Caenorhabditis elegans: one gene and its partner. The protein of the gene in region 1 interacts with the protein of each later gene in a pairwise test. Each region holds a gene or a part of one and is shown in the gene's direction. Other genes may lie near its edges.

What was found.
Region 2: the proteins of dct-15 (region 1) and ZK632.12 interact in a two-hybrid assay, tested with the Caenorhabditis elegans proteins (one large-scale study listed by BioGRID).

What each region holds. Positions count from the first base shown.
Region 1 is NC_003282.8:9,805,752-9,812,372, reverse strand, and holds dct-15 (RGS domain-containing protein), read left to right. Parts: upstream 1-1,910; coding exon 1,911-1,955; intron 1,956-2,434; coding exon 2,435-2,536; intron 2,537-2,582; coding exon 2,583-2,918; intron 2,919-4,326; coding exon 4,327-4,663; intron 4,664-4,851; coding exon 4,852-5,000; intron 5,001-5,048; coding exon 5,049-5,129; intron 5,130-5,172; coding exon 5,173-5,308; intron 5,309-5,356; coding exon 5,357-5,542; intron 5,543-5,627; coding exon 5,628-5,896; 3' UTR 5,897-5,967; downstream 5,968-6,621. Other genes in the region: Delta(6)-fatty-acid desaturase fat-3, read right to left, coding at 6,374-6,556, 6,602-6,621.
Region 2 is NC_003281.10:9,828,935-9,832,931, forward strand, and holds ZK632.12 (uncharacterized protein), read left to right. Parts: upstream 1-1,867; 5' UTR 1,868-1,903; coding exon 1,904-1,919; intron 1,920-1,966; coding exon 1,967-2,359; intron 2,360-2,838; coding exon 2,839-3,047; intron 3,048-3,095; coding exon 3,096-3,236; intron 3,237-3,282; coding exon 3,283-3,324; 3' UTR 3,325-3,489; downstream 3,490-3,997. Other genes in the region: ZK632.11 (uncharacterized protein), read left to right, coding at 28-237, 283-678.

The sequences.
Region 1 (6,621 bases):
CTATTTTCAAGGAACTGTATATTTTTCTATCGGGTTCTGCTTTGATTTTTCACAAGTTCATAAAATTAGAAGATTTCCCGAAATAAGCAAATTCTAGAAATTGTAATACAACAGGTGCCTACTTCACGCGTTCTACTTCTACCTATCAATTTTTACAGCACCTGAAGTAGGCGTACCTCGCCTAAAAGGCAGGTATTTTGGGGCCTATGTGTAAGGTCATCTCATTGTGAACTCCTACTTTAAATTTCTAATTTTCGCAAGAAAAGTCTGCTTGCAAAAATGTCTCACTGGAAGAACATTTTATGAACTATTTTTATCAGTTATAAAATAATTTCATCAGAGAAAAATTCTGTTCGTGAATCCAAATCAAGAACAGATTAATCAAAACTCACCTCTCCATTTTTTAAATTTCTCTATAAATAGTAATCTCTCCTCTTTCTTTTATATCAAAACATAAATTGTATGTCTGAAAATCCCACGCATGAACTCTTTTTTCAGTTGATCCGATCAGTTCCAGCTGAACTTAGATTCTAGAATTCAATTAATGAACTGAAATTCTTTGATCAACTGGAAAATTAAAATAAGATCAGAAAGCATTGAGCAGTTTGTAAGAATTCATAGGGCAGTGGTAGACACCAAATAACTGCGAAAAAACAATTACGAATCGGTAATCCTTTCCGACAATTCAATTTGCTGCGTATTTCCTATTTTTCCATTACCCTCCTGATACCTATCGATTTCAGTCTTTTTTTGTGTTAAACCGCTTATTTTAATTTCCGTTGGCTTTGAAGCGTGACGGCTCAAATGATAAGCCATTTCAAAAGATGATCTCTTCTGCATCCCAAGCCTTCTGTAAATTGATCTCAACGATTGCTTCTAGATTGTTTCGAGATCAATCTTATTAAAATTCTCTACTTCCTCTCATTTTTGTAGTTCTTCCAGTTAGGTTAATAACGAAGCTTCTTTTCAAAAACACTAATTCAATAAAACTAAACCGAAAAGTTTAAACTGGCTGGAAACTTCCCAAACAAAATTTTTGAAATTTAAAAAATTTGGAAGCCTGTCAAAAAATGATTTTCTCTAATTAGATTAGCAGGTATGTGTACTAAAATAATTAGGATACTTTCAAGGTCTTGGCATTATTTTAGCGAAAAAGCTAAATTATCATAGAAACTGTTAGACTAATTTTTGATGGGTCTTCTGTAACATCTTAAACGTGTTTACTGTTTACACGTTGAACCGCTATTCGAAACGGAAAAGCTAATTTGACAACAATAGAGATTACTGACATATGTTATGACGCTAACTATTTCGTGCTAAGAAAGAATAAGGTATTATTCCAACCTTATAATTTCCTGCTTTTCCTGATTTTTCAGTATTACTTTGGTGCTGAAATATTCCATTTTACTGTTAATCCTCAACTCTTGTGACATAGCTATGTGACTCATTATTTCATAGTAACACATGGGATGGAAAAATTCACATTTTTTGCAAAATAATACCGCGCATGCATTTCTTCCAGGAATAAAGCTTAAATGATCACACTATTCTTTTTATTTGAGTGTAAATAATCTCATAATCTTGTCACACTTCTGTTTTTACAAATACTTTCTACTTGACCAAACAATTTCATTTTCAGACTTTTTGCTTAATATTGTACTTTACATGTGGATGGCTTTTTCGAAGATTTCGTCAGCAATGGTGAGTCGCTATAGCTACCAAAAGTCTCATGTGAATATATAGAATTTCCAAGAATGATAGTGAAAAACATATAATTCAGTAGTGAGCGAATTTTCTATTTAGTATTTGTATTGCCGTTTTTAAATTACAAATTTGAAGAGAAAGCTATTTTAATATTCATATCTGAGTGATATCTGTATCTGTTCCATTTTTGAACAATTAAAATTGAGATGCCAATAGAAGTGAATGATTTTTACGATCCAGCTTATCATCCGGTATGAATTTGTTTTGGATTTTTTAAAAATATTGCCCCGATTTTTTAATGTGCAAATTCCAACTTTTTATTTTTTGAAACGGCAATTTCTTTTAGCTTGATCAGCTTAAAGGTGCAGTCCCATAGTTAGAGGTTTTTTTCTGAAATTAGGAAATACCACAGAATAAAAAAAAAACTTGCTGGAAAGAATGAAAAAAAATTTCAATTGTGACTAATCTCTCTGCTTGAATTCCTTCCAAAATGAGAAGTGCAAGACTAATTGTTTCGATAAGTTGGATTTCATTCTTTTTCATTTTTGTATTTCGTTTGTGGATATTTCGATTGTAAGACTCTTTAGGGTATTTTAAAATCAACATCCCCATTCACACTACTTCAACTTTTGTGTAACAGAAAACAGCAAAGAATAACCAAATTCTCATAGAATTACAAAATCAGAATTTCTTTCCAATAAATTTCTTCATGTGATATCTTAATTTTCAGAAACCAATTTTCGATAGAATCGTGGAAGCAAAAGAGACCGCATCCAAGCATCCATCTCTATTCATTATCCATTTATGGATATATTCTCTAATTGGATTCACGGTAATTCAAATTCCAGTCTTTTCTCTGAAAATTCGGTCATTTTCAGGTGACCTTCATTTCATTAAGCTATTCACATTCAGCTTGTTATTCAATGATTTCATCTGCACATCTCTTCAATTTACACTTTGCATTCAATGGTTCAATCTTTCTGGGAGCTGTTTTTCATTCAAATTTATCTCGAAGACTCTCACTCAAATACGTGTATATCACCTGTCTAATTCTGATATCCGCGTGCTTTTTGGCTCTTCCACATGCTGCTCACATCATTTTACTTCTTTGTATTGTGTTTATTGTTTTTGGCACTGTTCTTGGAATTTCGTTGTCTGCTGTGATATCTAACTTTGTTGTTATATTCAAGCAGCAAAGCTTTCTACTCTTACAGGTAAATTTTTTTATTAAAGACTGTCTTGTAGAACTTAACCGCAAGATGTAAAAAAAGTTCAATTAAACAACCCAAGGTATGGGACAAACCAAGATATTAGGTTGAGCAAAAAGTCTTTGCAAAATTTTGATTTTTTTTTGGAAGTAGTATTTTTTCAAAGCGAACAAGATTCAATGGGTAATATATTTACCATTAATGCTTATGACTTCTTGCCAACACAATGGAAGTTGAACAGTGCCCTCCGCCTAGAACTCCTGCGATTATGAGGCAAAGAAGTCGTCCAACCCCGTTTCGACGACCTTTCGATCATGAAACTTCTGCCCGGCAAGGATATTTTGGAGAGAGCGGAACATATAGTAGTCAGTAGGAGACAAGTCCGTTGAATACGGTGGGTGAGACGAAAATTGGATTCTGAGGGTCTGCATGGACCACCTTTTCCAATTAAATGCAGTATAGGCCAGCGTTGATTGTAGCAAAGTTTGGAAGAAGCTCTTTGGAAATGACCCTTACTGTTCCACCGAATTGAGAGAAGCACTTTTTTCCTTGAAGTTCTCACTTGAGGCCAGGTTTCGCGGTTTCCTCGACCGGGACCCACTCTTTTTTCCTGGTATGGCTAACATATAATACCCATTTATCATCTCCAGTAATGATATCCTTAATCCAGTCCGTCGTTCGTTTCCTAGTGAGCAGCGAAAGAGAGAGGTCGCAAAGCAATTTTTCTGAGAATCGGACAATTTGTGAGGAACAAGTTGACCGAACTTTGACACCCTTCCGGTTCTATGGAGATGGTTGATGATGGTTTTTTTGGGGATGCTTGAGAGTCGCAGAAAGTTCGCGGTTCGTTGCTCTTGGACCATCTTCCAGGACTCTCGAATTATCCTCATCCATATCCGAACGAGAGCGATCTGATCTTGGTTTATCATCGAGATCGTAGTTCTTTTTCGTGAACTTTTCGAACCAAAACTTCATGGTATTGTAGGTGACAGAGTTATTGCCTAACACTGCACACATGTTACGACGAGCTTCGTTGCACTTGCGGCCTTGGAGGAACTCGTACAGAAAAACTCCTCGGAGAGCGTGGTGATCGGCGAGCAAATTCTCGGCCATTTTGAACAGCACCCAAAAGTTTTTTCAAATGCATTAAACATGCACATTACGTACTAAACAAATAAAAAAACAGAAACAGAAAAAAATGAATTAACGCTGAGAAATGAAGAAAAGTACAAACTTTGCAAAGACTTTTTGCTCAACCTAATATTATTCAATTTTTTACCGAGGACCAATCTCCATTTTCTTTTAGTTTTCTTGACACTTTGCATGCTACGCAACATTGTTTCTTCTGTTTAATCATTCAAAATTCAGTCAAAAATATCAGACAGTAAATTAGTCAAAAATTGAAATTTTTAAGTTTCTCCACCTCATAGGAGCATTCGGATCAGTGACCGCTGTCATGTTCTATCAATCGGCACCTTCTGAACATCAAGAGGATTGTAATTCAAAAAGAAATCCAGTTCTTCCAACAGGACCACACATTCCAAGTCTCGAAAAATTCTATTTAAATCCATCACTCCGTCAAGACTACATTTTCTATGCGACAGCAATCCTTCAAATTCCCCTGTTAATATTATGCCTTAAAACTGAGTTCAACGTTTCAATGAAAACATCAATTTCAATAAGAAGGACAGAATATGATGATATTGAAACAAATAATAACAATAATAACCATCATCATGAAAACTGCCAAAGTGAGTTTTTTTTAATTGAAGTTTGATTTCTGATAGTCTGACTTTAGAAAATCCAGAAACCATAGTTAAAATAAAAACAAATGTATTATGTTTCTAATCCCAAAATAAAAGCATCCAAGTCACACAACCTTTAAAGTTTCTACTTCCTTGTATTGATAAAAGGCCTATAAACAATAATTATTTTTCAGGTTTAACCCAACAAAGTGACGTAAGCAGTTTAAAATTGGTACTTCTATGTTCAGTTGTTGCATCAATTGCCAATATAATGTACACCATGTTTCCATTTCTTATACTTGCTCAACCATCAGCTTCCATATTTTATTATCAGCTATTTTTGGTATCAAAAAAGCAACAATTTCAGAAATATAAAGGATATTTTTTTCAGATTTTTTTCATGTGGGGTCGTGCAGTTTCATTGTTTTTCTCCGATTATATGGCTCCGTATTTTTTGGTTGGAGTTTCAATTGTAAGTTCTTTGAATGATAAAAAAATATATATATCTAATTCAGTTCGGATGTGGAATTGGATGCTGTTGTATAGCTTCCGAACAATTCCTTCTGGTTGGTTCACTTATTTTTGGATTCTTCCTGGCGCCACTTCTACCTGCACTTGTGATCTACATAAATCATAGCTTGTCGCTAAAATGTTAGTTATTCCTGGCTATCAATAAACTTCAAATTTAATTTTTTTCAGCAAACAACACATTCACTTTACTCTCTGGACATTGTTCAGGACACTTAATATTCCCCCTTCTACTCACTTTGACAAACTCCTCGAACTCAAGGCTTTTCATTGCGTTCAACTTTGTTGCTATTGTCATTTTGGTAATAATTTTGGTATCAATTTTGAGCCTTCATGCTCAAATTGAAAGGATGCAAGGTAAATTAATGCACAAATTCTTGAATCAATTGAATATAAAACTTAAGACTAATGTTTCGAAAAATCCAAAAAAAAATTATTTCAGCATCCCAAAGTGGCCTAAATCTCTTCGTTTCTCGCTTCTTATCAGGCGAATCTCTTCTCAAACGTACTCGATCAATCCGTCCTCTAATATCCCGTCTTCGTCCAAATTCATACAGAAGATTTGCAAATCGACGTGGTTTGAATACTCGCAGTCCATCTCCAGCAGTTCCTCACTCAACTGAGGTTTCTGTAAGTCCAGATGAATTGAGCCGGCTTAATGAGCCAAAGGAGATTCGATCGGGCTCGATGTTAATGCCAACGAGGGTGTAAATCTTACAGAATAATTTGTTTTATGCTTGTAAATATGTATTTGGAATATTTAATAAAATATTATTTTGTAACAAAATGCTTGAATGCAAGCCTCCCACTTGTCCATAATAATATCTGCTTGTATACAAGACTACCTACGCCTACCTCGTGCCGGCTTTCAAACTACACGTGAATCCTTTTTGATTTCTTATATTACCTTTCAATAGTTTAATTCAAAAGATCCAACGAGATGTAGTAAATTTCGGCGACGAGAATAAATTGGAAGTCACGTCACAATTTTAAATCAAGGTGACAGGCAGTCGAGAGGTAGGCACATAGGAATGCGCCTACCTTCGGGGGAAGCTCTTTTCAAACATTGAAAAACAAGGTTTTATTTCTACCAGAAAAGGGAATGGAGGAAGAATGACGGAAAACAAATAATTTCAAAGAATTAAATTTAAAAAAAACAAGAAAAAACTTTTTGAACACCCAGATTGTTTAGGCAGCTTTAGCTTGAATGTGCTCAGCCATATTTTTCAATTGTTGCAAATTCATTGCATATCCGTCAAAGTAGTCATCGACGAGGTAAGGAAGATTATTCTCTTTGCACCATTCTTTCACATATTTCATGCAAGCATTCAGATTGCAACGTGGCATTGTTGGGAACAAGTGGTGCTCGATCTGAAGAAGAAAACAAGAAATTAAAGCATTTGGAAATAAAAGTACCTGATAATTGAGTCCACCCC
Region 2 (3,997 bases), on another chromosome or scaffold:
GTCACTTTAGAAATTACATTTTTATAGCGTGAAGACTTCAAGATTCCACCAAGAGATGTATTTTGCTCAGTTTATCAAGATGAATTGCTGAAAATATTCAAGAAAAGTGAAAAAGCGGAGAAACGAAGAGCCAAATCAACTCCGAAACATAAAAAGTTCGCTAATGAAGATGATGATGATGTTATAGTAATCACAAGTGATGAAATCAAAATTGACAAGTTCAATACTCCGGGAGAAGTAAATTAAATTAAAATAAAAATTCAATATCAGTTACTTTTCCAGGAAGATTCCATTATAATACTCGACGGCTCTGCTTCAACAGAAGAAAAACACCTTTTGACTCCGATTCGAAAAGATGTAAAACTAGGAGAATCGATGTTTGAATTAATCGGAACTCCAGTGTTTGGTAGCTCTCTTCTTACTCCTGTTGCTCCACTTGAAGCGTTTGCCGTCGGAATTCAACCATTTGAAGCAAGAGAAGAACTTACTGGATGCAAGGGAAACTTCAGAAATCTCATGGACAAATTGAAAGAAATCCGCGAAAATAACTTCGTTCCGGAGCCTGAAGAAGAAGTTATTTTGGTTTCAACGAATGAAATTTCGTCGTCGAATAACTCTGGAACTGCTAAGAACAAAAATAATCAGAACAGGAAAAGAAATAGAAGACATGCTAAATGAATTGGCTTTTTGAAAAATCCTTTTGTTGAATTATTGTTGTTGCTTAAAATTGTTGTTGTTGTTCCATATTTTTACGCAAAACTACCATGATAAAACCTTTTTTCTTGATTTTCCAACCTCTCTCTTGTTGTAAATGGTTCCGAATGTCCACAATCTTCTATTTTGGTCATCAATTATATCTTTATCTCTGCGTTTCTTTCACTCTTGCCGCTTTCCGATGGATTGGTGACACACAGCAAATATCGGTTTTCTCAATTTAAACTAAATTGGTCTAATTGGCTTATGTTTAATCAGATTATTTCGAGAAACCTGTGAATATTAAAAAGATGGTATAGGTTTTGAGGGATTTTTTGCCGAATTTATTTTTTAGAAAGTGATGGAATTTTTTATGATTGCAAATTTTTTTAAAAATTATTTAAAAACGAGCTGAATTATTTTTTGAATTCCCGCGCAAACGAATTCCTAAAGTTTCGACGTTTTCAGGTTATATTATTAAGGTTTTTATTAAATTATTGATTCGAAACATAATTTTGTAAAACTTTCATACATTTTTTCCCGCAAAACAAGTTTACATTATTGATTTGAGGCCAGATTTAGAGTTTCAGAGAAGTTCTTTAGATTAACAAAATAAAATAAAAAGAAACCCCAATTAATATAGCCGGAAAAAGCAAAAAATATCGAAATTGTGTAGATCACTTGCGCGGGAATTCAGAAAAAGTTTAGCCTTTTTAATCATTTTTTTTCCAAAATTGAAAAAAATCATTTAAAACAATGTTCAAATTTTGTAATTTTGTTACAGTTATTTTCGGTAAATATATTGAGATTGTTATTGTTAATTAGAAGGAAAACCTACAAAATCTGCTCCCATACCATGCATAACTATATTTAAGATCCGAAATCTTATTCAAAAAAGTAATAAAATTAATTGAAACCTTTTTTCCAGGCCACCAGTTGTTCTTATCATTCATTCGTGACAATTTATTCATTGCATTCTTTTTCTTTCGTTCAGGCAGCGGTCCACTGGCTTGTCCATCCGATTGTTTGCACATAAAGTGTATGATGACTCATCACATTCCTTTTCCCTCTCTTCTTATTCTGTTCTCACTCAAAATAATTTTTTGTTATGATTTTCAACCTTCTTCGTCTCGAACTAAATTTATGAATTTTTTGAAATATTCAAAGTTTTCAGCGGATTCTTTCCATCGTTTCTAAATCACAAAACACAATGGTTGATCGACTTGGTAAGTTTTATTTATTTTCTTTTATAAAATAATTTATTAAATTTTAGTGAATAGTGAAGTGAATTCCCGTCGAATGGCTAACGTAGAACAATGCTTTGGAAAAATGGGAGAACAATTGTCGGTATTCGGACGAGTTCTTGTCGGAGAAGGTGTTCTTGTGAAAATGTGCCGAAAGAAACCGAAGCAACGGCAATTCTTCTTGTTCAATGATATTCTTGTATATGGAAACATTGTGATTTCGAAAAAGCGATATAATAAGCAAAGAATTCTAAGATTGGAAGGTGTACAAGTAGAAGATCTGGAAGACGATGGAATTGAGAAACATGGATGGATTATTAAGACACCTGCAAAATCGTTTGCAGTTTATGCAGCAACTGAAACTGAAAAACGAGAATGGATGTTGCATATTGAGAGATGCGTTACAGATCTCCTTGAAAGAGGTAATACACGAAAATTATTTTCAAAAAATTTCCACCAAAAAATTGCAGAGAAAGTTTGAAACCACCGTAATCTTTAAAGGCGCTTACCATTTTCCGTTTCAAAAAATCTTGTCGTTTCGAGACCGAAAACCGTATTTTTAATGCAACAATCGCAACATTTTTCGTCTAATTAATATTAAGCTTAAATAAGTCTTAGGCGCATTGTGGTCTTTTTATTTAAAAAAATGTTGGCAGCAATGTTCAATTTAATTTATAAATTGTGATGCAAAATTGGTCCATAGATCGACAAGTTACAGTAATTTGTTGTCCGCCTGGCGAGACCCATGCGCCTAAGATAGGTGAAAAATTCTCATATTTAAATGACCAATAATATACGTTCTACAAAAAAATTGGGAATCACCATATCTCTAAATTAAAACGGTTTTTTAGATAAATTATTTTTTTCTATTAAAAATACAATCAAAATTTTCTACTTTCAGGAAATAAGCAAGCCGCGACTGCTCACGCAGCTGTATGGGTTCCCGATGGTGAAGCAGTGAAGTGTATGGTCTGCGGGAAAACTCAATTCAATCTGGTTCAAAGAAGACATCACTGCAGAAATTGTGGACGTGTCGTGTGTGGCGCCTGCTCATCGAGAACATTCCGTATTGACAATGTACATAAGAAGCCTGTCCGAGTTTGTGATCATGTACGGTGAAGTTTGACACTTTATCGTCTAAATATCATGATTTTTCAGTGCTTTGACAGTCTGAGTAGTGCCACACCAGGACAAGAAGAAAGTGAACCAAAAACGGGAAATCGCTTGCACCATGAGGATTCCTCCTCGGATAGTGAAGACGAGGTCAATGGTAGTGGACGATCGAGTAATGAGAGCCGGGTATACTGAATATTGCCTAATCTTTCAATAAACATACAAATTTCAGCCAACATTCTACCGTGAGGACGTTCAGCAGCCGGCAACATAGTTCAACGCATATAAACTACGATGAAAATTCTAAAATCCACGTCCTCATTCCTACTACTAAATTAATATTATATTTTCTTAAACGTTCCTGTGATATACAGCAATTGTACGTATTTTTTTTTGTTGCTTCCAACGACTTTTACAATTCCTGAAAAAAAGTTATTTCCTTTTTCTTCAATTCAAGATTATTCAGAACTGCACAAAATTAAAACGACCACATGACAGAAGGAATCATTTTAATAATCATGAATTACAGAAATGATCAAATTTCTTGTCCTTACAAGAAACAGCGCAATTAACTGAAGTGTTCAGAGAAACGTATGGTCCATTCGGCTTGGAATCATATAAATGTTCTTAAATTATTAAAAGTAAAATAAATGTTTTATTTACATATGATTAGTGAAATCAGAGCACAAAAGTGTGCAATGAAAAATAAATTTTATTTTCTGGAGTACTGTAAGCGGGCACATGGTGTATTGTACGCAGAGTTCTTCGAGTGTTTGCGTATCCACGTTGTTCTCCACGTGGACAAAACGCGCGGCACGTTTACTTTCTGAAAATTCGTTTTATTTTTGCATTACTGTCTTCTTAAAAGCTGAAAATGGCTGCAAACGAAGTGTAAATTTCATAAATTCCTAAGCTTTTATTCATATATATATATATATATATATTTC